Linked DNA regions of Macaca mulatta. Each later gene encodes a partner of the first gene's protein in a complex. Links are inferred from orthologs where the notes say so. Each region holds a gene or a part of one and is shown in the gene's direction. Other genes may lie near its edges.

Evidence for each region.
Region 2: the proteins of CASK (region 1) and LIN7B are in contact, whole or in part, in an NMR structure (PDB 1Y74), measured with the Mus musculus proteins. The link is inferred for Macaca mulatta from reciprocal best matches to the Homo sapiens genes CASK and LIN7B. Residues at the interface, in NP_001271432.1 of Mus musculus: Ala405, Arg408, Ala409, Glu411, Val412, Glu415, Ile416, Tyr419, Glu421, Asn422, Asp424, Ala425, Glu427, Leu428, Ile431, Leu432, Gln434, Phe437, Ala439, Leu440, Leu441, Thr443, His444, Val447, Ala448; in NP_035828.1 of Mus musculus: Leu10, Asp13, Val14, Arg16, Ala17, Leu20, Leu21, Arg23, Leu24, Ser27, Glu29, Leu30, Pro31, Pro32, Lys34, Leu35, Ala37, Leu38, Val41, Leu42, Ser44, Phe46, Cys47, Ile50, Arg51, Tyr54.
Region 3: the proteins of CASK (region 1) and DLG1 are in contact, whole or in part, in an NMR structure (PDB 1RSO), measured with the Rattus norvegicus proteins. The link is inferred for Macaca mulatta from reciprocal best matches to the Homo sapiens genes CASK and DLG1. Residues at the interface, in XP_038955489.1 of Rattus norvegicus: Gly339, Ala342, Ala343, Arg345, Ala346, Val347, Gln349, Val350, Ser353, Leu354, Glu356, Ile357, Leu360, Thr361, Asp367, Leu368, Phe370, Leu371, Ser373, Val374, Phe375, Asp377, His379, Leu380, Thr382, Leu383, Leu384, Asp385, Leu386, Tyr387; in NP_036920.2 of Rattus norvegicus: Arg4, Asp7, Thr8, Arg10, Ala11, Leu12, Leu14, Leu15, Tyr18, Lys21, Leu22, Glu26, Asp27, Leu30, Ser33, Ile34, Arg36, Val37, Ser39, Ile40, Phe41, Ser43, Leu45, Phe46, Leu49, Ile50, Gln53, Glu57, Val58, Leu60.
Region 4: CASK (region 1) and LIN7A share a complex: the UniProt entries of both Homo sapiens proteins name them as parts of the brain-specific heterotrimeric complex. The link is inferred for Macaca mulatta from reciprocal best matches to the Homo sapiens genes CASK and LIN7A.
Region 5: CASK (region 1) and LIN7C share a complex: the UniProt entries of both Homo sapiens proteins name them as parts of the brain-specific heterotrimeric complex. The link is inferred for Macaca mulatta from reciprocal best matches to the Homo sapiens genes CASK and LIN7C.

What each region holds. Positions count from the first base shown.
Region 1 is NC_133426.1:41,838,050-41,843,922, reverse strand, and holds the start of CASK (peripheral plasma membrane protein CASK), read left to right. Parts: upstream 1-1,914; 5' UTR 1,915-1,956; coding exon 1,957-2,015; intron 2,016-5,614; exon of another isoform or gene 5,615-5,710; intron 5,711-5,873. UniProt on the Homo sapiens protein: Multidomain scaffolding Mg(2+)-independent protein kinase that catalyzes the phosphotransfer from ATP to proteins such as NRXN1, and plays a role in synaptic transmembrane protein anchoring and ion channel trafficking.
Region 2 is NC_133424.1:61,565,215-61,571,013, forward strand, and holds the start of LIN7B (protein lin-7 homolog B), read left to right. Parts: upstream 1-2,340; 5' UTR 2,341-2,378; coding exon 2,379-2,415; intron 2,416-2,809; coding exon 2,810-2,928; intron 2,929-3,220; coding exon 3,221-3,292; intron 3,293-4,205; coding exon 4,206-4,415; intron 4,416-5,796; coding exon 5,797-5,799. UniProt on the Homo sapiens protein: Plays a role in establishing and maintaining the asymmetric distribution of channels and receptors at the plasma membrane of polarized cells.
Region 3 is NC_133407.1:2,598,391-2,603,484, reverse strand, and holds the end of DLG1 (disks large homolog 1), read left to right. Parts: intron 1-4,065; coding exon 4,066-4,172; 3' UTR 4,173-4,923; downstream 4,924-5,094. UniProt on the Homo sapiens protein: Essential multidomain scaffolding protein required for normal development. Recruits channels, receptors and signaling molecules to discrete plasma membrane domains in polarized cells.
Region 4 is NC_133416.1:88,057,243-88,062,796, reverse strand, and holds the start of LIN7A (protein lin-7 homolog A), read left to right. Parts: upstream 1-1,998; 5' UTR 1,999-2,210; coding exon 2,211-2,292; intron 2,293-2,499; exon of another isoform or gene 2,500-2,614; coding exon of another isoform or gene 2,615-3,069; intron 3,070-3,213; coding exon of another isoform or gene 3,214-3,397; exon of another isoform or gene 3,398-5,554. Other genes in the region: uncharacterized protein LOC114670904, read right to left, coding at 2,615-3,069, 3,214-3,397. UniProt on the Homo sapiens protein: Plays a role in establishing and maintaining the asymmetric distribution of channels and receptors at the plasma membrane of polarized cells.
Region 5 is NC_133419.1:37,776,241-37,781,808, forward strand, and holds the start of LIN7C (protein lin-7 homolog C), read left to right. Parts: upstream 1-1,907; 5' UTR 1,908-1,920; coding exon 1,921-1,957; intron 1,958-5,568. UniProt on the Homo sapiens protein: Plays a role in establishing and maintaining the asymmetric distribution of channels and receptors at the plasma membrane of polarized cells.

The sequences.
Region 1 (5,873 bases):
GAGAAAGGAGGAAAACCGTGTGCAATTACACTTGTCCTCTGGTCTGCTTTTTTTTTTTTTTTTTTTTTAAAGGTTTAGTACCCAAATCCTTAGCAGGCAAATCTCTCAGCCTTTTGAGGGAGTGGTCAAGGGTTTGCACGAAACGTTTCTGAAGAGAAAATAGGCTGTGAGTCTCCACATCACCCCCTCCACTTTGGTATTAATAAATACTTTTTTAAAAAAATTACCACACTGAGAAATTTACCAGACGATTTCTGGAAACTGACTTATGAACTAATTGGGCACTTTTGCTATGCGGAGGAACAAAGACTCTATTGGTCTTCAACTGAGGCATATACCTGTCTGATGGCGTTGGCTCATTCCGCACATGCTCAGTTGAACAGAAATCTTCATATTGAATGCAACCTAGCACAGCGGCAACACCCAGAACCTCACTCCCTGGCTGCTCCTGTGCCTGCACTGCCTCTAGTTGCATTTTGTTCCTGACAAGTCTAACATGTATAGGGAGTATACAGAGCAGTGTAGGTGCTGGGAGTTTGAGGGCAATATACAAAGGAGCTTAAAGTCGCGGTTTGTCCCTGTCTTCCTGGCTTCTCTCTAGGTTGGTCTCTAGTGAGGGTAGGCGCTGGATAGGTATTTGTTGAGTTTGGGGCAGAACGTGGGAGAAGCTGTCTCTATAGATGACCGTTTGCTGTCGCACACCTTCCTAGGCAGTTTTTGTTTAGTCCTTTTCTCGGACGACCTCCCCTTGCCCCCAGCCCTCATCTTCATTAAGGAATGACAGGGTAGCACTAAAAGCATCCGCTGCCAAGCACGGATTCAGTGACAACCTCTCTCCACCTCTCTTTTAGCTTTCTCATTCATTAGCACCCTATCCCTGCCTCTTTTCCCAGCAAAAAGCTGGGAAAGGCTCCCTGCGATTACAAAAGAAGGAAAGGGGAGCGGCCAGAGTTTCGAGCCTCTTGCGGGACAACGAGCGTACAGCCGTGGACCTTTTGTCTCCAGCCCCTTTCGCGGCTTGGTCGCCGCTAGGCGCGGAGGCGACGACCCCAACCAGCCCCGCCTCGGCAGCTGCAGCCGGCGCGCCCCGCTCAACCCCCCGCGCCCTCTAGAATCCCGGTGCCCGCCCGTTTGCCGTGACGCGGCCCGCGCCGCGCGCATGCGCCGCTCAGCCCGCTCCCCTTTCCCTGGGCCACCGCCTCCCGACGGGCTAGAGTGGGCGGAGTCTGTGGTTCTGGAAGCCGCGCCGCCGACGGGGGAGGAGGGCGTGTCTGCGCGAGGCGGGTGCGCGGGGCTGGCTAGCCGGTCGGCTGCTGAGGCGGAGGGGCGGAGCAGAAGGCGGCGGCCGCGGCTCCCGCCCGCACAGAGCGCCAGTCCCGCGAAGCCCCCTCCCACTCCCGGGCGGGCGGTGGCGGCTGCGGGAGGAGGAGAAGTAGGAGGGAGCGTCTCTGCCACCGCCTCCTGGTCCCCAGCGCCGATCCGCCGCCGCCACCTCCCTCCGCGGCGATCCTCCCTCCATGGTCCTGCCGCGGCCCCCTCTATAGCCCGAGCTGCTCCGCGACGCGACGGAGCCGGCCTCGGACAGAGGGAGCGGTCGCGGCCTCGCGGCCCGCGCGGGCTGACGAGCGGAGAGCGCGACGCCGCGCGGTCCCCGAGGATCCGCACGCCGGGCAGCGCGGCCCGAGCAGCGCGAGGAGCAGCGGGCGGGCGGGCGGCGCCGGGCCCGGGCCGCCCTCGCTCCCACGCCCCGGCCCCGCCGCCCGCGCCGGGGCGGTCGCCTGCAGAGGAAGGCGCCGCAGTCTCTGGGCCTCGCGGCACCACTCGAGCGTCCTCGGCACCGAGGGCTCGCGGGTCCTGAGGGGAGGAGGCGATCCCGGGGCTGGGCACTGAGCTCTTGGGCGCCCCCACCCCCGTTTTCGAAGCCCTCCACGCTGCGGCCGCTATCCCCTCCGGACCATGGCCGACGACGACGTGCTGTTCGAGGATGTGTACGAGCTGTGCGAGGTGATCGGAAAGTGAGTCTCCACGCGAGGGAGCGGGAGTGTGGAAAAATGCATTTCAGTGATGCCCCGGTCTTCCCGCACCCGCTCCGGGCCTGCCCCCTGCCCTCTCTCCTTCCCCTCTTCCCCTCTTCCCCTCTCGTCCTTCTCATCTTGGAGTATTTATAGACGTGTACCTGGAGCTCCTGCCAGGCGGGGGCCTGGGGGTTCTCAGCGGTCCATTGAGGCCACCGAGCCGAGGCTGGCCACCCCGTAAGGCGTGGGGCCGGCTGCCTGCATTTTATCTGACGGTTGCACAGGGACGTGGCACAGCCGATTTTATAGTTGCTTCAGTTGGGGTTTTTGTTACCTTGCATGTGCCATAGACCATTTTTGAAAAGAGCAGCTTGCATTTCCTTTGCTTGTGTGGTGAGAGAGAGAGTGAGTCCAGGGTTTTAATTGTGGGGTGTGTGTCTATTGTGCGGGATATTAGACAGATGCCTTTGTGTACACCCCATGCCCGGATTGGAGGGGATCATTTAAGACCGGGTGCGTTCAGTTTCAGCACATTCCCTCCTGGTGTACATGAACGTGGAAAGAGTTGGGGGCATTCGAATTTTTAATGCTTCGTTATGCAATGACTGTTCAATCAGTGCTCGAGGCTCCCCTCGACTGTTGTTGGGATGGTGGTTAGCGTGGTAGAGCCGTCTGCTTTGAGTCACCGGGCTGGTCTAGAATATAGAACTGACAGTCCAAATGCTCATCCTTTCATCTGTGTTGTATAATTACGCTGGGGAAAAGCAGGGAATCAGATTAATCACAGTGCTGATTGAGAATTAAATCTGCAGTTCCTCATCTAATTGTCCATTCCTTAAATCTATTTTGAATAGTTTCCTTTTCATTCTTGTCAAACAGTATTCCAAGTGCACAATCCTGCTAATTTGCTTGTGAAGGAAATGCTGGCAATCTGAAGTTGATTTCCTAACACAGCGTGTATTCTGTGGCTTTAGAAGTTGAGGAGATAAGATTTAAGAGCAAATTTTTGCTTAATAAGGATCGCTAGAGCTACCATTGAAATATCTTACCTCTTTTTTTTTTTTTTTTTTTTGGAAGCGGTGCTTTATTGTCTATTTTAAGGTCCACAGTTGGGAAATGAAACCAAGACCTTAGAGCAGTTGGCCCTATCTCTTTTAAGTTGTCTGCAGTACACGATTTCAATTTGAGTGCTAATTTGTTTCCTTTTCTTTCCATATTGAGGTATTACAGTGTTGCCTCACATGGTGAAATTGTGGGTAGAGCTTGCTACACACTTTACTCAGACCCAATTGATATGAGGACATGTTACTCCTTGCCCTATTGTTACATGACCAGCCAGACTGTTAAAAGGAAAGTATCCAAATGTGTCCTGTTAAAGTGGTTGTGAAGTGTTCTAGAACAGCACTGTCCAAAAGATATATTATGAGCCACATTTGTAATTTAAAATTTTCTAGTAGCCACATTTAATAAAAACATACAGGTGCAATTAATTTTACTAAAATATTTTATTTAACCCTGTAGATCCAAACTTAACACTTAAACATGTAATCAGTATGAAAAAATATTAATGAAGTATTTTACATCTTTTATGCTAAGTCTTTGAAATCCCAATGTGTATTTTACACTAACAGCACATCTCAATTCTGACACTAAGCTACATTTCTGATAAAAATCAGAAATACTTAATCTGTATTTAGGTTTCATAAAATGTGCATTTACAAAAGTAGATTCACATACCCAAGTTACCCAATATACATACCCAATATACATAAAAGTTTTCCAATAACTGAATCAAGTACGTTTTTCTAAATTTAAATTTTAATTAATTAAAATTAAATAAAATTCAAAATTCAGTTTCCCAGTTGGACCAGCCACGTTTCAGGTGCCTAGTAGCCACATGTGAATAGCACAGTTCTAGAGAGAAAAATGTATCAAAAATCTCCTTGGTTTCCTCATTCTTAGCAGCACCCAGTGAAGATAAATTAGGTGTTTCCCAAGAGCCTCCAAATGACCGTATGTGTGGGTGAATTACGTTTGTTGCATCTTAGTTATAGCTGATGTAAACGAACTAACAAAGTCATAATTGGAAAATGTGAGATTAAAATGTTAATTATATTGTGAAGATGGAAAATAGCCATCACTGAATCAGTTTTGGTAACCAGTTCTGATTCCTTAAGGTCTGGAAGGGCGATGATGTGATCTCTTTGGATATCAAAAAGAAATGGTCAGAATCACATTAACACAGTCAGTATTCCGCTGATTTGTAATTGATAGAATATTTTCAGGAAACACCCCTGGGAGAAGAAAATTCATCTTTTCTGGCTGTTTCAGAGCTGCATAAAGAGGGGCAGCAAGCTAATTTTGAGGTGATAGGTACTCTGTGGCTACCTTAACTACTATGAACTGTGAAATCTCATTCATATTTGAAACCAATTCAAATATGTGCCAATTATAAAATGCCATTACGTGAAATAATGAATTCAAGCTAGCCTTATTGTTAAATAATGTAATAATAGTGTTCCTCAACCTGAGTAAAGGTTGAAGGTTTCTCCAGTAAATTGCCTTAGTATATATTGATCTGGAAATTGAAATTAGCTTGAGATTTTCTTGCAGGGACCTTGACAGCATACATTTTTAACTTAGAATTTGTTCACCTCTGAATTTGAACAGAAAGCCCTTGAAGATGTTCGCATGTGCTGAAAACCTTTTTATTGATTTCTATTCAAGTTCTATGGAATTTTGTTTTCTTTTTCACCAAATTAGTATCACAAGTTGTTTTTCACCACTAGATCTTAATAGGTTTAAATTTTTACTAAGGTACTTTAAAATAGATTTCACTTTTCAAGACTAATTGACCTCCCACTCACTCCTCTACCTACGCAACCACCTACTCACTTACCTCTGTGTACTTGGCCTTAATTGATGGCATAAATGAAAGTTCTCGTCTAATTTAGACCCTTCAGTGTGCTTTTTTTTCCCGTTGGTTGAGAAAGACAACTTCTAGAGTTAATGAGGTTTTGAAATATAAGATCATTATTTGGAATATGTTTTCTTTCCAGTGGCTGCAGCCTTTACCCTTGTTAAAGCTGTCTTTGAGGGAACATGTGCCCAATTTGTTACAAATATTGGAAGGATGTCGTTTCCCTTTTTAAAAATTAAAACTCTTTTCCCTGTGTTTCTCATTTTTGAAAATCTTGCAGAAACTCCTTTGAATGCTTGTTGGTTCTATAACATTTTCTACGTAACTATCTTTCAAATGACTGAAACAAATCTCCAATAATACGACCTTATCGTAGTCCCAAAACTTCTTGTCTTAGCAAATGTAGCAATTACTGGAAAGGAAAGGCGTTATGCAAATAAGGTTAATGACTAATTTTTATGTCATGATCATTTACTGTATCTTTTACAAGTATAAGTAAGTGTACAACCGGTAATACTACATGAAGGAAATTTAAGACAATTCATCCAAATTAAAACATAGAAAAATGCCTACTTTCTTGGTACAGCAGTGTCTATGAAAGAGAATAACAAAATACACACCATTTTTACCTTGTGTTGGTACCTTTGCCGTATTATTTAGTAACCTGTAGCTTCTGACTTTCCTGCTCTGATAGGACATACACTAAAATTGGAATGATGCAGCATGACCCTTGCTTAAGGATGACATGCAACTGTGTGAGGCATGCTGTATTTGCTTACACCTCGAGAGCACTTATATTTAATTACAGTTACTTATTTATGGATCTCTCTAGTTCACTAATAAGGAGCTTCTTGAGGGCAGGGAATGTTTCTTACACATCTTTCCCCATTAACACAGTGCTTGCAATGTAACAGCCTTTCATTAGCTGTGGAATGAAT
Region 2 (5,799 bases), on another chromosome or scaffold:
TCCACATCTGCCCACCCATCTTCTATGCCTTGGCCCTGGTGCCAGCTGCCACTGGGATGGCTGTGGTACCCTCCTAAGCTGCCCCGTTGCTTCTCGTCTTGTTCTTGTCCAAACCAGTCTCCATAGTGGCTACAGTGATTTTTTTTTTTCCAGTAGATATGCAGTCTCACTATATTGCCCATGCTGGTCTTGAATTCCTGGGCTCAAACAGTCCTCTCGCTGCATGCAGCCTCCCAAAGTGCTAGGATTACAGGTGTGAGCCACTGCGCTCAGCCCAGTGATTTTTTTTTTTTTTTTTTTTTTTGAGACAGGGACTCACTCTTTCACCCAGGTATAGTGCAGTGGTGTGATCATAGCTCACTCCTGCCTCGACCTCCTGGGCCCAAGCGATCCTCTCACCTCAGTCTCCAGAGCAGCTAGGACTACAGGCACACGTCACCAGGCCCAGCTAATTTTTGTATTTTTTTGTAGAGATGGGGTTTCATCATGTTGTCCACGCTGGTCTTAAACTCCTGGGCTCAAGTGATCCTCCCACCTCAACCTCCCAAAGTGTTGGGATTATGTGCTGGGATTACAGGCCTGAGACACAGCGCCCGCTCTGCCCAGAGTTTTTTTTTTTTTTTTTTTTTTTTTTTTTGAGACAGAGTCTTGCTCTGTCGCCCAGGCTGGAGTGCAGTGGCCGGATCTCAGCTCACTGCAAGCTCCGCCTCCCGGGTTTACGCCATTCTCCTGCCTCAGCCTCCCGAGTAGCTGGGACTACAGGCGCCCGCCACCTCGCCCGGCTAGTTTTTTGTATTTTTAGTAGAGACGGGGTTTCACCGTGTTAGCCAGGATGGTCTCGATCTCCTGACCTTGTGATCCGCCCGTCTCGGCCTCCCAAAGTGCTGGGATTACAGGCTTGAGCCACCGCGCCTGGCCTTTTTTTTTTTTTTTTTTTTTTTTTTTTTTTTTTTTTTAAGCGATGGAGTCTCGTTCTGTCAGGCTGGAGTGCAGTTGCCATCTCGGCTCACTGCAACCTCCGCCTCCTGGGCTCAAGCAATTCTCCTGCCTCAGACTCTCGTGTGGCTGGGAGTACCGGCGCACACCACCATGCCGGCTATTTTTTTTTTTTTGTATTTTCGTAGAGACGGGGTTTCACCATGTTGTCCAAGCTGGTCTCGAACTTCTTTTTTTTTTTTTTTTTTTTTTTTTTTTTTGAGACGGAGTCTCGCTCTGCCGCCCAGGCTGGAGTGCAGTGGCCGGATGTCGGCTCACTGCAAGCTCCGCCTCCCGGGTTTACGCCATTCTCCTGCCTCAGCCTCCCGAGTAGCTGGGACTACAGGCGCCCGCCACCTCGCCCGGCTAGTTTTTTGTATTTTTTTAGTAGAGACGGGGTTTCACCGTGTTAGCCAGGATGGTCTCGATCTCCTGACCTCGTGATCCGCCCGTCTCGGCCTCCCAAAGTGCTGGGATTACAGGCTTGAGCCACCGCGCCCGGCCGGTCTCGAACTTCTGAGCTCAGGCTATCCGCCCCCCTCAGCCTCCCAAAGTGCTAGGATTACAGGCGTGAGCCAGCGCGTCCGGCCCCAGTGATCTTAAAATACAAATCTGAGACCCAACCTAGGCGACAGAGCGAGGCTCCGTCTCAATAATAATAATAATAATAATAATAATACAAATTTGAGTGTCATATTTTACTCTTAGGAGTTTGCATGAAGCCCCAAATCCTCAAGGCGCATATGCCAACGCAGGAGCCCAGGCATAAACTGTATCCTGCCGGCCTTTTCACCTCATCATCAACCAATCCTAACTCTGCTTCCAGCCCTGTGGACTCTTTCTGCGTGGTGGGGGTGACCCAAGCTCCACCTCTTGTTCATCTTACCTCCCAGGACTGTATGTCAATGTCCCTGCTCTAGGATCTCCTTCGTCTTCTAGATCCTTACCTCCCCACTCTCAGCTCTCATTACAGCCGTGGCTGGTGGTCTACCTCTCCCATAGACTGGAAGCTCCGTTTGGGCCGTGGGCTTGGCTGCCCTGCTCACCACAGTGTCCATGCCTTGGGCCCAGATGTTTCACAGGAGTTTGTTGAATGAATGTGGGAAAAGAATGGACAGGGGATAGACAGGTGTGGAGGGCAGGCAGACACTGATCCTGAAAGAGAAACACAGACCGAACCTACAACGGGAGGAGTCGCCAACAGGACCGACGGGCCGGGACGGAGGGCAGGGCCGCGGGTGGCGCGCGGCAGGGGGGTCGGGACAGTCCGGCGCGGGGGAGCTGGGCGCTCTCCAGGCTGCGCCTCCGCAGGGGGCGCCCGTGGCCCGGGGCGTGGCCTCGCGCAGCCCCGCCCTCCTCGCCCGCGCCGGGGCAGGCGGGCCGCTGGCAGCTGTGGCGCCGACATGGCTGCGCTGGTGGAGCCGCTGGGGCTGGAGCGGGGTAAGCGCGCGCCAGGGGGCCCTGCCCACCCGGGCCGCGGCCTGCATACCCAGCCCCCGGTCCCCGCCCTTCCCAGGCCAGGCCAGTGCGGGTGGGCCAGCGGACCCGGCGGGGTGGGCGGGGCGGGCGCCGGGGCCGGGCGGTCGCGGGGTGTGGGAGGCTCCCTGAGCCCAGGCCGGGGCGGGGGGCGCCCGCCTTACACCCCGGCCTGTGGAGGGGTCCTGGGGCTGCAGGGCGCCCGGCTGGTGGCGGTCTCTCCTGCGCCACCCTGGACTCTGCGGGGTGTCCGACTGGGCTTCGGCGGTCCTCCCTGGACTGTGCGCTCGGCCTCACTCCGCCGCTCTCCTTGCTTCTCTGCGTCTCGGGGTCTCTGCGCCCCGCCCCCGCCCCGCAGACGTGTCCCGGGCGGTTGAGCTCCTCGAGCGGCTCCAGCGCAGCGGGGAGCTGCCCCCGCAGAAGCTGCAGGCCCTCCAGCGAGTCCTGCAGAGCCGCTTCTGCTCCGCTATTCGAGAGGTGAGCGGCGCGCGGCGCAAGGGCGCGAGCTGGTGGCCGCCGTCCTCTTCCTCCTCCTCCTGCTAGTCCCGAGCCCGGGGACTACGCCTCCCGGCAGCTCCCGAGGCGGCCAGCCTTGGGGTGCCCACGCTTCAGCTCAGTGGTTCTTCGGGAGTTGTAGTTTCCTCCGGCTCCGGTTGCGGGGGCGGGGCGGATCCTTGCGTGGCAGCGGGAGAGGGTCTAGGGGCCCGGACTCCTGCGTCTAGGGCTGGAGGAACTGGCAGCTCCCTGATGCCGCTGCCTCCTCACCCAGGTGTATGAGCAGCTTTATGACACGCTGGACATCACTGGCAGCGCCGAAATCCGAGCCCATGCCACAGCCAAGGTGGGCCCCGCACCTCATTGCTCCTGGTGTCTATTTAACTGCCTGGTCGAGCTCAGTATCTCCTTCATGCCAGTCATTTCTGTTTCCTCCCTCATGATTTTTGCTAAATCTATGTGCCACTCTTACCATTATTAAATAATCGCACATTTTTAACTTAAATGTCATACGAAGGCGTCTTTAGCAACTGCAAATGGAAACCAGTGTGGCATGACTGGCTAGAAGATAACCTTCAACATCTGTACAGTGAAACCAGGGAAGTCATGGCGCTCTGATCTCTCACTGCACAATAGTGAGATGCTACCTCTTGCTGCTGCCCAGAGGCTCGGATCTCCCTCCAAGCCTGGCTTTCATCTGTTTAAAAGTAAGATTGCGGCCAGGCACGGTGACTCACGCCTATAATCCCAACACTTTGGGAGGCCGAGTCAGGTGGCTCACTTGAGGTCAGGAGTTCGAGACCAGCCTGGCCAACATGGTGAAACCCCATCTCTATAGAAATACAAAAAAAAAAAAAAGCCGATCGTGGTGGCGGGTGCCTGTAATCCCAGCTACTCGGGAGGCTGAGACAGGAGAATCGCTTGAACTCAGGAGGCCGAGGTTGCAGTGAGCCAAGATCATGCCACTGCACTCCAGCCTGGGCAACAGAGCGAGACTTCATCTCAAAAAAAAAAAAAAAAAAAAAGATTGGCAAGTATGGGGTATTCAAGACACACACCAAATGGACACTTTCTCTTGCAAGTGAACAGAAAGGGACGCACAGTCATTAAAGGGGGATCTTGCATTGTGCCATGGCACGTGTCCCATGTTTGGGGATAGTAACCCAGGCTAAATCGCTGTCCTCGGTTCAGATCCCCCACCCCAGCCTTCTTGCCCACCTGGCAGGGGCCCTCATCTTCAGTCGCTTTCTCTCTCCCAGGCCACAGTGGCTGCCTTCACAGCCAGCGAGGGCCACGCACATCCCAGGGTAGTGGAGCTACCCAAGACGGATGAGGGCCTGGGCTTCAACATCATGGGTGGCAAAGAGCAGAACTCGCCCATCTACATCTCCCGGGTCATCCCGGGGGGTGTGGCTGACCGCCATGGAGGCCTCAAGCGTGGGGACCAACTGTTGTCGGTGAACGGTGTGGTGAGTGGAGGGCTGAGGCAGGACTGCGGGACACAGTCTGTCTAAGGTAGCATAGCCCCTGCTTTTGACATTCACTCAACACACACTGACTGAGCTCTGCCTCTATGGCTAGCCCTGTGCTGGCCAGTGTTACAGACCCTGAGAGATGTTGGTCTCAGCTCCTACACTCAACCTTCCCTCTCTGGGGAGGGCAGTAGGCCTCGGCTGAAATAGTCCTAAGCCAGAGACATAATAATGAGGAACTGCAAAGTACTGTGACAGCCCAGATGTGGCACCTGGCCAACATACATACAGGAAAGTTTTGCAGAGTAAGGAACATTTGGGTTGGGTGTTGAAGGATGAGTAGGAGTTCTCCAGGCAAACAAGGTAAAGGGTGTTCCTGCTGAGGGTACTGTAGATAAGGATAAGGACTTGGCATACCTCTGAGCTGAAAAGAAAGGGCTTAGTTCTGAGGGAGGTCTGGGGCATGCAGGTAATTAAAATCACTGTGGTTAGGCAGGCTGTGGTGCCTCACACCTGTAATCCCAGCAATTTGGGAGGCCGAGGCAGGTGGATCACTTGAGGTCAGCAGTTCAAGACCAGCCTGGCCAACATCGTGAAACCCCGTCTCTACTGAAAGTACAAAAAATCAGCCGGGCGTGGTGGCAGTCATCTGTAATTCCTGCTACTTGGGAGGCTGAGGCAGGGGAATCACTTGAACCTGGGAGGCAGAGGTTGCAGTGAGCCGAGATAGTGCCACTGCATTCCAGCAAGGGTGACAAGAGTAAGACTCCCTCTCAAAAAAAAAAAAAAAAAAAAAAAAAAATCACTGTGGTTAGAGTTGAGGAAGGCATAACTGGAGAGGTGGCTGGGGTCAGCCATACAGGACCTGAGTGCCAGCCTGAGAAGCTGGGACTTTGTCCCATGGGTGCTGGGGAGCTATGGGAGGGGTGAGCCAGGGATAAGCTCAGCTTGCAGGTACAGAAGGACCCCTCTGGGACCCTATGGAGATGAACTGAGGGGAGAGACTAGAAGCCAGAAGGCTGGGCTAAGAGTCCAAGGAAAGGGGACAAGGCCTAAGCTGGCCCAGGGCTGTGGGGACAAAGAAGAGAGAGTCAAAGCAGGCAGGCATTAGTGGGCTGTGGGCAGGGAAGCCACAAAGATGGGTCTAGATGTTTGACCAGGGACTGAGGGAACATGGGGCTGTCCCTGACATGGGAAACCTGGGAGGTTTTGGAGGAGGACACTGAACCAGGAGTTAATGACTCTCCCACGAGGAGGACATGAGGTGTTGGCATCTCAGGGCTGGCACCAGGCTCACCAGCAGTGGGTCCCATCTCCCAGTGGGGGCTGGGTGAGGGCAGTGGGCCTCAGGCCCAGCTGTCTGTGTTGGGCCCTGCAGAGC
Region 3 (5,094 bases), on another chromosome or scaffold:
ATTTTTGTGTTTTTAGTAGAGACAGGGTTTTGCCATGTTGGCCAGCCTGGTCTCAAACTCCTGGCCTCAAGTATCCACCCACCTCAGCCTCCCAAAGTGTTAGGATGGCAGGCGTGAGCCGCTGCGCCCGGCCTCATGATTTTGATTTCTATTCCTCTGATGACTAAAGAGGTTGAGCACTTTTACTGATACCTGTTGGCCATCTGTATGTCTTCTTTGGATAAATATCTATTCCAGTCCTTTGCCCGTTTTTAAAATGGATTGTTTGGTATTTTGCTAATGAGTTTCTTATATATTTTGGATATTAACCCCTTATCAACTGCATGGTTTAGAAATATTTTCTCCTCTTCCATAGGTTGCCTTTTCATTTTGTTGATTGTTCCTTTGCTGTGTAGATTTTTTATTTGATGTCCCACTTGATGATTTTTTTATTTTGCTGCTTGTACTTTCCAAAAATCATCCAAGACCAGTGTCAAGGAGCTTTTTTCCCTGTTTTCTTCTAGGAGTTTTATGGTTTCTGGTTTTACATTTAAGTATTTAATCTATTTCAAGTTAATTTTGTGTAAGATAAGGGTTTAATTTCATTCTCTTGCATGTGGATATCCAGATTTTCCAACACCATGTATTTAAAACACTAGCCTTTCCCCATTGTGTGTTCTTGGCCCCTTGTCAAAGATTAGTTGCCCTTTGATCCGTTTTGAAATACTATTTGTTTAAAAAAAAAAAAAGAGTAGGTAGCAATTCCCCAATATTCTTTTCTTACTCAGTTTGTCCTTTAACTGACTCCTCAAGTCTTTGGACATTTTTGTTGTTGTTACTTGTTTGTTTGAAATAATATCAGCCTAAATTTGACATTCACAGTGAGTATCAGTAAGGGTCATGGTTTTTGTAAGCCTTGTGCTTTCTTATTTTTTTCAAACTAATTTCAGACTTAAATAGAAGTTAGAAGAATAGTACAGGGAGTCTCATGTACCCTTCACCCAAATTCCTCAAGTGTTAACATTTTACCACATTTATAATTTTTTCTGAAGCACTTGAGGGTAAGTTTCAGGTAGATGCCCCTTTACTTCCAAATATTTCAGTGTGTATTTTCCAAAAAACAGGGATATGCCCTTATATAATCATAGTTTTATTACCAAAATCAGGAAATTTAATAATTATGTCTCATCTAACTATAGATCTTATTATTATTTCACTATTCTTCTAATCTCTTTAGAGCAAAATGGGAACAAAATGGTTTTTCTGTTCCAGTGCAAGATGCAGTTCAGGCTCACGTGTTCCAGTGAATTACACATCTTTAACGTTCTTTAATCTGAAATAGTTCCCAAGTCTTGTCACTCATGACCTTGACTGACATTTTTTAAGAGTAAAAACTAGGGGGGTTTTTTGTTGTTTTTTCTGTTTCGTTTGTTTTGTTTTGTTTTTTGAGCCAGGGTCTCACTCTGTCGCCCAGGCTGGAGTGCAGTGGTGCAATCTCAGTTCACCGGAGCCTCCACCTCCCAGGCTCAAGTGATCCTCCTACCTCCGCCTCCCAAGGAGCTGGGACTACAGGCTGCAGCCAACATGCCCGGCTAATTTTTGTATTTTTTGTAGAGACAGGATTCCGCCATGTTGCCCAGGCTGGTCTGTAACTCCTCTGATCCGCCCACCTTCACCTTGGCCTCCCGCAGTGGTGGGATTACAGGCGTGAGCCACCGCACCTGGCCCAGGCTGGTCTGTGACTCCTCTGATCCGCCCACCTTCACCTTGGCCTCCCGTGGTGGTGGGATTACAGGCGTGAGCCACTGCACCTGGCCCAGGCTGGTCTGTAACTCCTCTGATCCGCCCACCTTCACCTTGGCCTCCCACAGTGGTGGATTACAGGCGTGAGCCACTGCACGTGGCCCAGGCTGGTCTGTAACTCCTCTGATCCGCCCACCTTCACCTTGGCCTCCCACAGTGGTGGATTACAGGCGTGAGCCACTGCACCTGGCCCAGGCTGGTCTGTAACTCCTCTGATCCGCCCACCTTCACCTTGGCCTCCCACAGTGGTGGATTACAGGCGTGAGCCACTGCACCTGGCCCAGGCTGGTCTGTAACTCCTCTGATCCGCCCACCTTCACCTTGGCCTCCCACAGTGGTGGATTACAGGCGTGAGCCACTGCACCTGGCCCAGGCTGGTCTGTAACTCCTCTGATCCGCCCACCTTCACCTTGGCCTCCCGCAGTGGTGGATTACAGGCGTGAGCCACCGCACCTGGCCAGAGACCCACTCTTTTATAAAATGTCCTCCCTCAATTTGGATTTATCTGACGTTTTCTCATAATTAGATTTAGGTTGTGCATTTGGGGCAGGAATAGCAGTGAAGTAATGATGTATCCTCTGTGTGTCATACAAGGAGGTTTACGGTCTGCTTGTGCCGTTGCTTGTTATGCTAATTTTAATCACATGGTTAAGGTGTCTGCAGCCTTATGCTCTCCCAGTTTCTTCCCAAGGAGTATCCTGGTTTACTAACCATGCCATTCATGAATTTACAAAGTAAGCAAAATATATATTTCCCAAGTCAATTCCTGACTCTTTTCTCCTAAAATAAATCCTTGCGTGCTGTTGTCAACCTAAACTATGAAATGCTCTGGGATTCTGTCCTGTGCTGTTGGAGTGCATCAAGATGCCAAACCCACAAACCAAGTATTTTGTCAATTGAACTGAGTCTTCAGGGACACTGAGGCATGTCTGTATTTAGTTCAAAAGGTAGAAGTCTCACAAAACTGATACTAGCGAATATTATGTTACTTAAAATTCTTGTTTACTCAGGCATTCCTAGCTACGTATAAGCCCTTCTTACCTATATATAACTTCTTTCTTCTATGCACATAATCTCGGGTACCAAATAGACAGTATTATTTAAAACCTCCCTTCGACATTTTATGCTCAGTTTTTCAGACCATGGAAATCTACACCTATGATGCTCTTCCAAGATCACTGGGGATTTTTTTGTAGTTTAATAAGTGACTTATTTAATTTGCAATTCTGAATTATTTCATTTATATGTAAACTTCTTTTGTGAGAAACAGGGTTTCACTTTGTCACCCAGGCAAATGGTACGATCCAATGGTACGATCATAGCTCACTGCAGATGTGAACTCTGGGCTCGAGAAATCGTCCTGCTCCCTCAGCCTCCCGCGTAGCCAGGACCACAGGCACACACCACCATGCCCGGCTCATTTTTTTTTTTTTTTTTTTTTTTTGGACACAGTGTCTCACTATGTTCCCCAGGCTGATCTCAAACTCCTAGCCTCAAGCAACCCTCCACTTCAGCCTCCCAAAGTGCTGGGATTGCAGGCATGAGCCACCATGCCCAGCCATAAACATTTTCTTTCCTCTTAAAAAGTGACTCATGCTTAGTGCTGTCTAGCGATACTTTGTTTTTGTTTGTTTGCTTGCTTGCTTTGTTAACTGACCCTCATCCCTCACAGACCTCAGGGGCTTCAGCTATTTCCAAAGAATTACTTATTAGTAATTGTTACTCTTTTTTTCACACATTATTTCAGGCAGCAAATAAACATTGATTGTTAAGTCTCTAAACACTAACAAGCTGGCTGAGGTAATTCACCTACTCTACAGTAACTGACGTGCCAGCTTAACTGAAACAAGTAGCATCAATCTGTAGCCAGCTCTTTTCTGCCACGATCCTACCCCAAAAAAATAAAACAAAACATTATCCTGCATCATCCTGTCTGTGGGATTGTAGCCAGTTTCCTTTGTCCTACATGGTGATGGAGAAATCAGGACAGTTAAGAAAATAATTTGTTTTAAAATAATAAAGCTAATATATGCTCAGATGGTAAAAGAACAAAAGATCACCAAATCTTACTTTTTGATCCATTTTTAAGATAAAAATTGTATACTGTACAGGTAGGAAAATTAATGAAGTGAGCCGTTTTTTCTAAGTGAACAGTGCGTAAATGGTGATTCTTCCTGGATGAGTAACTTTCTCAAAGATATTCGTTTCTGCTATTTCACCAATAATTGTAATGACAAAATAGACAATTAATGGAGATTTCTGATTTTGTTTCTATCGTTACAGCTATTGTACAGGGAGATACGCTGGAAGACATTTACAACCAAGTGAAACAGATCATAGAAGAACAGTCTGGTTCTTACATCTGGGTTCCAGCAAAAGAAAAGTTATGAAAACTCATGTTTCTCTATTTCTCTTTTCCACAATTCCATTTTCTTTGACATCTCTTTGCCCTTTCCTCTGGAGTCTTTTTTCAATAATGATTTCATGTTGAATTATATCCCACATCATGGTCTGCAGGTGCGCTTATTTTTTTACATGTAGTGTCTCCTTCAAGTTACATCATGTGTATTATTTAATGTCACTATTGGTTAGTGGCCATTTTTCACAACTGAAGATGGAATGGCCTGACCAGCTATTAAGAATTTGGGGAGACGCAGAAATTGTGGTAAAATTCCTTAATGTTTAAGGGAAAGTAACTTTAAGAGATTTTTGGAAAAGCTTTATATACATTCTTTTCAAATTTCAGTACAAATGAAAAAGTGGTTTTAATCAGTGATTTAGTAGACTTTGAGCAACTATGCACGCTTAAGTTTAATAGCATGGTTTGGCCAGTGTGTTACTCTCAAGTCCTGTTCTCAGTCAGCTTCTATCATCAAAGCAATTGTTTCATTATAGATAAATAAGGAAGACATGTTTTAATTTAAAAATTCATGTCTGAGTTAACTTTCATAAGGGATTTCATTTTTCCTAAGCATTCTTAAAGTCTTTTATTATTTGAAGGTTCTTTTTTCCCAGTACATTTGCTAGGAATAACAACGTTTTAATGTTTTTAATCTACTTGAGCAACACTATCGTGTCTTACAAAAGTTGTTCATATGTAAATGATCATCACATTCTGTGAATCGAGGCCATGTTCAGGTGCTAAGGAAGTTCGCCTTTTACACAGAAGGTTGAGAAAATTTCCTAGATATAAATACAGATAAATCAGACATTACAGTGGTGATGTAGAAACCATAATGGCAATGGAAAGGAGTCCAGTTCATAGCCTAAAACTTAAAAATGTATTCTTAGGAGTCAGATTTTACTGAATAT
Region 4 (5,554 bases), on another chromosome or scaffold:
TCCCTAATAAAGGATGTTGTAAAATAACTACATTAGAAGTCAAGGGATCTGTATGTTCTTTTATCCTCAGTTACTGAGTGAGGTTTAATAATTTTATGCAAAAGCTTAGAACACACTCTGGTATCATTGAGCTCATCTCAACTTCTTTCTGTTGCTTAATTCAGGGAATGTGAATAATGGTAACAAACCAAAGTTGCTTTTTCAACCTCTGGCCTCCAAGAGCACCTCCTTTCAATAATGCTTAGAGTACTTACCGCACAGAAGTTTATGGTTTGCTCACCATCTCTCAAGCAAGACTGGGCAGAGTGGGCCGACTCAATCTTTGCATGGTTAGCACCTAGCACAGAGCTTACCACATGGCTCCAGGGGATGTATGCTTGTACAAATAAATTTGTATATTCTTTACTGTTTTCAAAGCACAATCACATGTATGAGTCCATTAGTCCCTCACAAATCTCAGTGAGATTGCAAGGTAGAATTTGTTTCCTCATATGACAGAATCTCTTTGAGGTTGAATAATATTTTCACCGTATGACAGAGGAGGAAACAGGATCAGTGAGAAATTGTGTGACTTCTGAAGAGCACATAACTAAGACTCAAATGTCAAGACCAGCATTCTTCCTTAAATACTAAATAAAAATAAGCATATTGAACTACTATTTTAGGTTTGTTTTTAGGGTCTGTTAAGTCTATATATGGCCAATCATCTTTGGCTTTCCCACATTGGTGAAATGTTGCTTTTTAAAATTCAATTGTAGACTATAAAATGAAAAAGACCTTCAGAAACCATATCTGTAATCAGAAGAAAATGGCATCAATTATATGCAAATATTTTGCTATAAAACTGTATCTGCCTTTTAGAGTTTATTGCTAGCCCAAACAATTCAGCTCTGTCACAGGGAACAAGATGGAGGCAGCTTTGTCATTTCCAATCCTGCACCCACAGTCACCCCTATTCAGCTTATAGAAGGTTTCTTTATGTCAGGAAATGAATCCCTACTATGACAAGATAGTGAAAGTAGCCTTTTTATTGGGGCGAAGAGGTCACAGTCAGTATTTGAAGGCTCTTGTAATTTAATCCTGATCAACTGGCTCTAAAGTCAAGCTTTTAATAACACCATCTCCCACTAGATTACAGGCTACAGGAAGTCAGAGACTAAATTGAACTCCTAAATCAAGGCGTGGCACAAGGCAATGTAACTCTTCTATCTCAATTCCTGGCATATTTGTTAATCAATAAGTGACATCTCTGACCCACTGGTTAGAAATCAACATGAAAAGTGCTAGGCACATATTTTTCAAACTAAGTGATAGACAACCAAAATCAGTTTGGACATTAAGAGCAAAGTTTTTGTTGAGTGGCTGGGCGGGAGTGGGACATGTTTACAAGACGTGGTATGTAAAAAATTTGGAGAAAATCTGAACACTCTACTTGTTTCTGAGCTACATTTACTGAATTGGTAATGTATTAACAGTGGCTTGAAAAAGAAAAGAAAACTTAGGGATAGAAACTTACCCCCATGCTTTTTATTTTGAAGCACTTCTAAGAGGTTTGCTATATTTTTTTTTTCCAGGCAATATACTCAGATCCTAAATGAACATCTACTGATGGAACTCTGGCCTTTAGTCAGTTATCTTTATATGCCGTTATAGGTCAACATTCCGAAAAACTTCAACAGAAATTAACTGCAAATGTAATTGCATCCCAAACATTTCTGACACTGAAGCATTTTCTCTCTAAAGGAGATGGGATTATTGGATTGGCAATTTCTCTTAATCTGAGAAAACTCATCTCCCACTCCCTCCCCCATATCCCCTTTCTATCCTCTCTCTTCCCCTGACACACACGCACACGCATGCACACACGTATATTCTGACCATTTTATTAGAGTGGAAAGTTGAAAGAAAGCAGTCCGCCAGCTACACCCACCCAGTGCTCCTGGGGGTGGAATAGCAAAGTTCCAGGGCAGAGCCTTCCCTCCCAGAGCCCGGCGATGCAGTCGCTCTCGGATACCTGCTCAGCTCCGCACCGCAACTGAAAGATCTGCCGCCGCGGAACAGTTGCCTCTCCATCTGGCTACCAACCCACCCAAGCTTTCTTCTCCACCACCACCACCTTCTTTCTTCCCCCTCCTCCCCCTCCTTTCCGTCTTCCCTCTCCACCCCCGCCCCCAATCTCCTCCTTTTTTTCTCACTACGAGCGGTTGCTGATGCTGAAGCCGAGCGTCACTTCGGCTCCCACGGCAGACATGGCGACATTGACAGTGGTCCAGCCGCTCACCCTGGACAGAGGTAAGGGAGCGGCTCGCTAGCCAGGCCACCGCGTCCCCTCTCCCCTCCGCCCTCCCCCGCCTGCCAATTCCCACCGGGACACGGGACGCGCTCGGGCCGGGGGAGAAGGGGAGCGAGGACGAGCCAGGAAGACGTTCGCGCCTAGAGCAGGACACTTTCTTCCCTTCTCTCTCCCCGCTACATCCCCGCTGCCCCTTCCCACTGTACTCGCCCCGCCGAGGGGACTCCTCCTTCTGGCTCTAGGGTCCCCGCTGCCACTCCCAGTCCCTCGCCGGGTCGTCTCCGGGCCTCTGGCTTTGTTGGAGCGGCTGCTTGGGGACGGCTAGGCGCCAGGGGCTCGGGGTTGGAGAGGGGCAGAGAGCAAGCTCGCCCGGCCGGAGCCCAGAGGAGACCGGCGAGGGAGCCGCCTGTCAGCCTGCTCGGCGCGGGGGCGCGGGAGGAAGGAAGTTTGTCCAGGCGCCGGAGGGCGAGGGTCGGTCCAACTGCTGGAGTCAGGGCGGCCGCTCGGGGGGCGGGCTGGGCGCACCCCGGGGCGGCCGGGCGCACAGTGGCGGGGCTGCAGCAGGCAGGTAGCTGCCCTCCGCCGAAAGGGCAAGGCAGAGCGCGGGGAGCCGAGCCCCAGCAGCCGAGTTCGGCTCTCCCCGGCTTCGCGTTCGAAAGCGGCGAGGGTCGCGTCTGCTCCCGCCGCCGGCAGCTCCCAGTCGGTAGCAACTCTCGGCTTCTCCCGCGCCAGCCTCTCTCGTCCTCTCCCAGCTCTGTGCCACCGCGGCGCCCGGGCTGCGGAAGGCGCGGGGACAAAGCGCAGGTCGGGTTAAAATTCAACTTCTGACCTGCGACCCAGTCAGTCCTGCTCTCTGACCCGAATGGGGAAAGTGTTCTCTTCCTCCCCAGGACGCCCCCACCAAGCTCAGGGATGGAGACCTCTGCTGCGATCCGGGCCTCGCTGGTGCACCCGCGCGGGGTTATACCTGTCCCTGAGTGTATGGGTTTCCTTCCTGGCTTCCAACGTCCAGTGATGAAGGCGCTCGAGTCCCACGGCTCTGCAGAGGAGGACACCCGCTAGTCCCTCTCCGCAGCCGCCGGATTTAGGACCCTGGGCGGCCATTTGGAAATTGTGTGCTCAGAAGAAAAATGATTTAGTCCGATGTACCTCTAAAAATTTTCTTTCTAGAGGATTAAACTGAACGGTGGGGCAAGGCAAAAGAGCATCCTGCTGGGAGTACAGTGACAAAGCCAGTGAACTCAGTTTGAGGTTTTTAATTTGAAGAGACTGTGGGTGACTTTACGCAATCTGTTGGCGCCAGAGCAGATGTTATGTGGTGCCCATAGCAACCTTTCTTAGGATAAGAGTTGAAAAATAAAATGTAATTGATTTTATATTAGAAAATGTTGATTTGCAAGCTGGCAAAATTAATAACAGTAGTTAAAGACCTCAGAAATCCATTGTATAATCCATGATCTTACCCACAATATCATCATCTGCACTAAGCAGGATAAATCCATTGCCGGTAAGAACCAAACAGATGGCAAGCTATCAGAAACTATGGGCTTCCCAAGTATTTATGTTTTAATGTGATGTGCTCTTATATTGTCCCATTACAAAATCACAGTCATTAAACATCCCAAACCAAGTGACTACATTAGGAGCAAAAACTCCAAGAAGATTGCATACTTGAGTCATTTTATATACTACCACTACTACTACTAATAAAAATATTTCAATGTTTGGTTTTTACCCTAGCCCTTAGATGCCTCAGTCAGTTGTTGAGAGGAGGTGCTAATCGGACTAAGATTTATTCTTAAAGTTTGTTCTTGTTCACAACCAAACTCTACTTGTCCTTCTGAGTGTGATTACGCCCATGGAGTAGCTCAGGAGGCAAACAGGGTTACCCTGTGGATAGGTCTGAAAAAATTCACCAGCAGCTCATGAAAATCTATAACCAAGAGATGATGGGTTATTGGCATCACCACTGAGCATAAAGTCAATATAAATAAATAATTGTTCTCTGTACCTTATTAAAATATGATTAATTGATTACTTTCATTATTAAACTGATGAAAGAAAAGGTTCTAAAAATTTCCCTGCAAAAAAAGGTGCATTTTAAAAGAGGCAGCCCAGTATTACATATCTGGGTCCCAGTTGTAACTCTGATACTCACTCTGCATATATGAGCCTCTTTGGACATCAGATTCTCTCTGTGCCACATCAGGAGTTTGAATTAGATGATTCTAACACTGTGCAGCTTTAGCAGTCTATAATTCAATTAATTAGAGTTAGGACTCAGTTTTTGGTCACCTACTGGGAGATTTTCCAGATCACCTCTCTCCCAGGCTGCTTTGGTACCCTTTGATATGCTTTAAATTGACTTGCTGCTTTGGCCCCATTAAAGCATTTATCACACTCTGTTGCATTTGTCTCCCTATTGGATGGAACTCCTTGAGGGAAGAGACCATTTCTAAATTCATCTTTGAATTCTCAGTGTCTGCCATAGTCCCTGACTCACAGTACAATAAAAAATTAATGTTTAGTTGGGGTAAGTAAACTCAGGATAGCAGTAACTTAAGCAATGTTAAAATATAGTGATTTGCTAGTGAACTGAGGTGCATTTCATAGATTCACAGTATTTTGGACATGGAAAGGATGATAGTGATAACATAGGCCAGAGATTCTCAACCTAGCCTTCCCCTTATACACTTGATGGATTCCCATCAGTAACAGTAGCTCACCAAAACTGTGACATTTAACCAAGAGAAATTGTGGCAGGTGGGCAAAGGAGAAGAAGGGAAGAAGGTGATGGACAAAGCCTCCCAAGGGCATCCCAGCAAATCTGAATATATAATCTATAATTTTAGAGCTGCTAGTTCTTTTTTGGTATCTTCATTTTACAAATGAAAAAGCATGAAAAAGTGAAGATAAGAGATGTTTTCAAGGTTGCTCTGTTTAGTGGAAATTTTATGTTAAAATTGAATTACTTTTTGTTTGCTACCCTTTGACATCATACATGGATATAGTCTTCAGGGCGAACGTTTTAAGCAAACAAATCAAAGCTAGGGATCAAAATTAAGATTTACTGCTTTCCAAATTTGAAAGATATATCTGAAAGTAAGAAACTCAGAAGTCTCCACCTAGCTTCTTGGGTCTGCTCTGGGAAGTAAGCTTTTTCAAGGTCCAGGCTGGGCCCCAAAAGGATGAACAAGGTGATTTCAGACTTCCATGGCTCTGTGCCTATCCAAAACTCTTTTTGATCTGCCATTAAGACCT
Region 5 (5,568 bases), on another chromosome or scaffold:
ACCTTGAAAAAAAGAAGAGCATCATTGAGCTGTGAGACAATGCCAGTTAGCTCAATATACATGTATACTATGTACATGCACACGACTCCAATAGTCACCAGTGGAGAGGAGCAAGAGAATGCAAAGAAAAAATATTTGAAGAAATAAGAGCAATGTTTGCATTTGTCTTGCTCTACCTGGTATTCCTATCAAGGCACCTGGTATATATTAGGTGCTTAATAAACATTTCTTGAGCACATTTGCAGCAGAAAAAAAAGACAACAATGAGTAAGAGATAAGCACCTGAGTGTTACTGCAGGGTATTTAGGCCATCAGAGGACAAAAAAGTGGAACAATATGGAGAAAAGGCTTGGTAGAAGTGGCATGTCTTCAGCAGGGACCCATGAAATGGGTTCAACTGAGTGTCTACAAAGTTTGGAGAACAGGAGGGGATGAAGAAGGGCATTCCACACAAGAACAACATAAATGAAGATTTGGGGCCCGGCACAGTGGCCCACACCTGTAATCCCAGCACTTTGGGAGGCCAAAGCAGGAAGACTGCTTGAGCTCAGGAGTTTGAGCCTGGGCAACATAGCAAGACCCCCCATCTCTACTAAAAATTTAAAAATTTGCCAGGCATGGTGGTGCTTGCCTGAAGTCCTCACTACTGGCAAGGCTGAGACAGGAGGCTCTCTTGAGCTGTGATCGCACCACTGCACTCCAGTCTGGACAACAGAAAGAAACTCTGTCTCTAAACAAACAAAAAGACTTGAAACCAGGAATAAATATGGTTGAAACTATCCCACCCGGACTGAAGTGGTGGTTGCACTTAGCGGTAATAAGAAATGAACTTAGCTGGATGAGTTGGGGTCAGAGTATGCAAGGCTTTAGAAATAAGAAACAGGAGAGAACTATTGAAAGTTTCTGAACAGATCTTGTGATGATGAAATCAGAATTCAAGGGGAGAAAAAAGAAGCATAGTGATGGCAGATATCCGTGATGGATTTGGAGAAGAAAATACTAAAGGTGAATGGAAAGGGTGGACCAGCGGCAACCAGGTTATTAAAACAGTCGCATCATGAAGTGTTGAAATATTGGATGTAAACACACCTACCACAGTATCAGTACAGACTAAGGGCTTGGATAAATGTTAGTCAAATCCAAATACTAAAATTCTTCTTGGTTCGCGAAAATTTCAGGAGTGGCTCAAAGAATCTGTAATGCATTAAGAATACTATTTGCTTCACAATATTTAATTTAGTTAAGATTTCATAAGAATCAGCTGCTTATAAAATTGTTACTTTGTGGTGCACCAAAGCACCTTGTTCTCTCCCTCACCCAGATATGTTATCATGCTGTTTGTACTTTCCACCCTTAAACAGATTTGGAGGGAAGATTCAAGCCGTGGATTTTTAAATTTAAAGCAATGCTGTCACAAACTGAGAACTGACATGTCATTACATATTTAATTGCCACCACATCCCAGAGTTTAAAAATTGAAAGGACCTAAGAGATAGGACCTCTCGTTGTACAGAGGCGGAAACTGAGACTGAGAGAGGGTAAGAGAACAGTCCCAGATCACAGAGCTGCTAATGGGCAAGGTGGGACTAGAATCCAGGCTTGACTCCTCTACGTGGAGCCAAGGGTTCGAAGCGATTCGGATAAGGGAAGCCCGAGGCAGGGAACGAGAGTCATGAAAGCAGCTCTTTCCAACCCTAGGAGGCCGGGGAACCTCGCCACCGCGGAAGGAGCGGAGCCAGGCCAACCTCAAAAGCCGCAAGTCCAGGTACCCTTACCCTGATGGCCCCGGCGACACCCTCGGCCACCCTCCTGATCTCGCGATACTAGCCGGTACTCACTTTTCCGGCTTCCTCTAGACCCCGCCCCTCCACCTCAGCCCTTCTGTCGTCATTTCCTGTGGGTCTGTGGGCTAGGGAGAAGATGGCGGCGTTAGGGGAACCCGTGCGACTGGAGAGGGGTGAGTGCAGCCGAGGCTCGGCCGAGGTTGGTGGAAGGGTTGGGAGAGTGCTGTGTCGCTGGAGGGGAGGAGGAGTGACCCAGGCCCTGAGATCCGGAGCCAGGCTATCCCTTGTGCCGGCGCCAGAGGCCACCGTTGTTCTGTGCCTGGCTTTAGTGAGGGCGCTTACGGTATTTCAACTGTTACTCTAAGCTCTCCTCTGTTCACACGGACTGTCCCGAAGCACAGCACAACTAAACACAACCTGCCCGCTTCGCAGACACACGCCGCACACGCGCTCCCTTGGTGGGCACAGCAGAAGCAGCATTCAGAGACCCATATACCCGAAAAGCAAACGTCACACACCCGGTTCGCACAGACTACACTCAATGCCTGTACAACATGAGAACACACACGGTACAATTCAATAGAACCTCCCTTCCCCCTTGTTTACACACATACTCCTTCATTACTTTTTCCACAACATCGCTTGTATTTGGGTTGGGGTATTTGCTAGCTTTTGTGCCCCTCCTAGAAATGGAGAGGTTGCTTTAAAACAATCCTACTCACTTGGTCTTGGGAAGGAGGTTACGTAAGTAAGCAGAATAGTGGTAGATGCTAAAACGCTTGCAGGTGCAGTGTTTTTCATTTCTTGCAAACCCTACAATTGCAAACTGGTTGGCTGATTGCTTCCTAGAGCAGACTGTCAAGGAAAATAAAACCTCCTCTTCTGAGTGATTTTTTTTTAGAGAAGCCTGTGAAAATAACTGGCTATGCGCCTACCAGATTTCCAGCATTCCAGCGTTTCCAGTCCTTTTACAGATTTCCAGCATTCCACTCTGTCCCTAATCCTTTATTTCAAACAATTTCAAGCATGCTTTTCATGCACCAGCATTAGAAATCATTGATAGGAGCTGAGAAGTACAAATAAACATTTTGAGTACTTGTGGTTAAAGAAAAAAAAAAAATTATAGGATGGAGACTGAAATTATATTGCACATATTAACATTTGCAGTTACAGTCTAAATACTACTATTGTTCCCTAAGAAAACACATTTTTAGAATTACTGTACTTAGAAAAACTTCTTTCCTAATGCCTTCCCACAAAGAAATGTGCACTTAATGTTGCTGATTTGCTCTTTACTGTGTTCACCATTTGGAAGTCTCACTGTAAATGAGATTCTTACCCTTAAGCCAATTAAAGCATCATTTTAGAGGACTAGCTACTCTGGGAAGACTTGCTGAGTTAGGCCTAAGTCTGTGACATCTTCCTCTTGAGCACAGTAGCACTGTGTTTTATGGATGGGAACAAATCTGTTTGGTGTTAACAGGAGTAGGTTTCTTCTTTGAAAGCTAGTTGTTAAGATTCTAACATATTGATGGTCTTCTGTGTTTTTGTTGTTGCTGTTTGGAGACGTAGTCTTGCTTTGTCGCCCAGACTGGAGTGCAGTGGTGCGATCTCGGCTTACTGCAACCTCCGCCTCCGTGATCAAGCAATTATCCTGCCTCAGTCTCCCGAGTAGCTGGGACTACAGGCGCACACCACCACGCCCGGCTATTTTTTGTATTTTAGTAGAGACGGGGTTTCACCGTGTTGCCCAGGCTGGTCTCGAACTCCTGAGCTCAGGCAGTTCGCCCGCCTCGGCCTCCCAAAGTGCTAGGATTATAGGCGTGAGCCACTGCACCCGACCAGTCTTTGTATTTTTAAATGCAACACAAAATGTGGAACTTCTGTGGCATTTAGTTTTGATAGTCATGGCTTTGTTTTTTGCTGTTAACAGACTTCTTTTCCATTCTTCAGTAGAAGGCTCAGCCCCTTAGGATGAATTACAGTTAGCCCTCTATATGCATGGGTTCCACGTTTCAGCCAACTGCAGATTGAAAATACTCAGAGAAAAAAATCGTGTCTGTATAGAACATGTACATTTTTTTCTTGTCCTTATTCCCTAAACAATGTGATATAACAACTATTTACATAGCATCAGATATTGTAAGTAATCTAGAGATTATTTAAAGTATGGAGGGGGGATATGCATAAGGTTATATGCAAATACTACATCATTTTATATCGGAGACTTGAACATCTGCAGATCTTGATATCTGTGGTATCTGCAGAAGGTCCTAACGAATTCCCCACAGTTACTGAGACAGCTGTACTAGTCGTTGCCATTTAGCAGGGTAAGAAAGTCAGATTACATCACCTCTGATTCTTGTTTACAATTCTAACAGACTCTATTAACAAACACTCCCAACAATCTTACAGCAGAAAATCCTACAGTACAACTACAATACAGCACCTGATCACATATGATTTAGAGTGCCTTCTAAATCATCAAACTATGATCTAATGAAACACAAATTTGAGCACATGTTAGCTACATTTTAGATTTAGTCAAAAGCATTTTATTTTTTTCCGTTTTTTTTTTCTTCATTGGAAATTTTTATATGACTTACATATTATAACTTTATAAATCAAAATAATTGATGAACCAACAGTCCCCATTTATCAGTCATTCTGGTGATGGGAAATCAGAATGGTGAAGGTCTATTTGCTTCCATTGCATTTGATTAACTTTTTAAGTTTAAGCTTTCTTTACCACAAATTTAAAAATTTGTTTTCTGGCCAGGCGCAGTGGCTCATGCCTATAATCCCAGCAGTTTGGGAGGCCGAGGCGAGCAGATCAATTGAGGTCAGGAGTTCGAGACTAGCCTGGCCAACATGGTGAAACCCTGTCTCTACTGAAAATACAAAAATTAAGTGGGCGTGGTGGCGGGTACCTGTAGTCCCAGCTACTCGGGAGACTGAGGCACAAGAATCACTTGAACCCTGGAGGCGGAGGTAGCAGTGAGCCAAGATCATACCACTGCACTCCAGCCTCAGCAATAGAGGGAGACTCCGTCTCAAATAAATAAATAAATAAATTATCTTTCAGCCGGGCTTGATGGCTCACGCCTGTAATCCCAGCACTTCGGGAGGCCAAGGTGGGTGGATCACGAGGTCTGGAGTTCGAGACCAGCCTGACCAACAGGGTGAAACCCCGTCTCTACTAAAAATACAAAAATTAGCCAAGCGTGGTGGTGGACCCCTGTAATCCCAGCTACTCAGGAGGCTGAGGCAAGAGACTCTCTTGAACCTGGGAGGCAGAGGTTGCAGTGAGTGGAGATTGCGCGACTGCACTCCAGCCTGGGTGACAGAGTGAGACTCCCTCTCAAATAAATAAATAAATAAATAAATATCTTTCTTTACTGCATTTATTCATAGTTTTCTATCTGCAAACACGAAGAAGGCCATACTATATAAAGAAAAATTTCTAGTCCTTGAGTATAACATGAAATCAGAAACATCTTCTACTTAAGTCAAAAGGAAGCAAAGCAGTAATGGAATACTGGGCACTATAGTACCTGGGGTACAGAAACTGTACAAAAACAGTTTTTGGAAAAAAAAAAAAAGTAGAGATAACAGTATTATAGCTGACCTCCTGAATCTTCTAAAAATGTCTCAATTCATAACATTTATCCTCGCACTTCTCAATGGGAATCCCCTAACATGCTTCATACATTTCTATAAATGTATACAACCTCTTAGGGTTTTTTTGGTTTGGTTGGTATTTATTTTTTTTTTGGAAATGGAG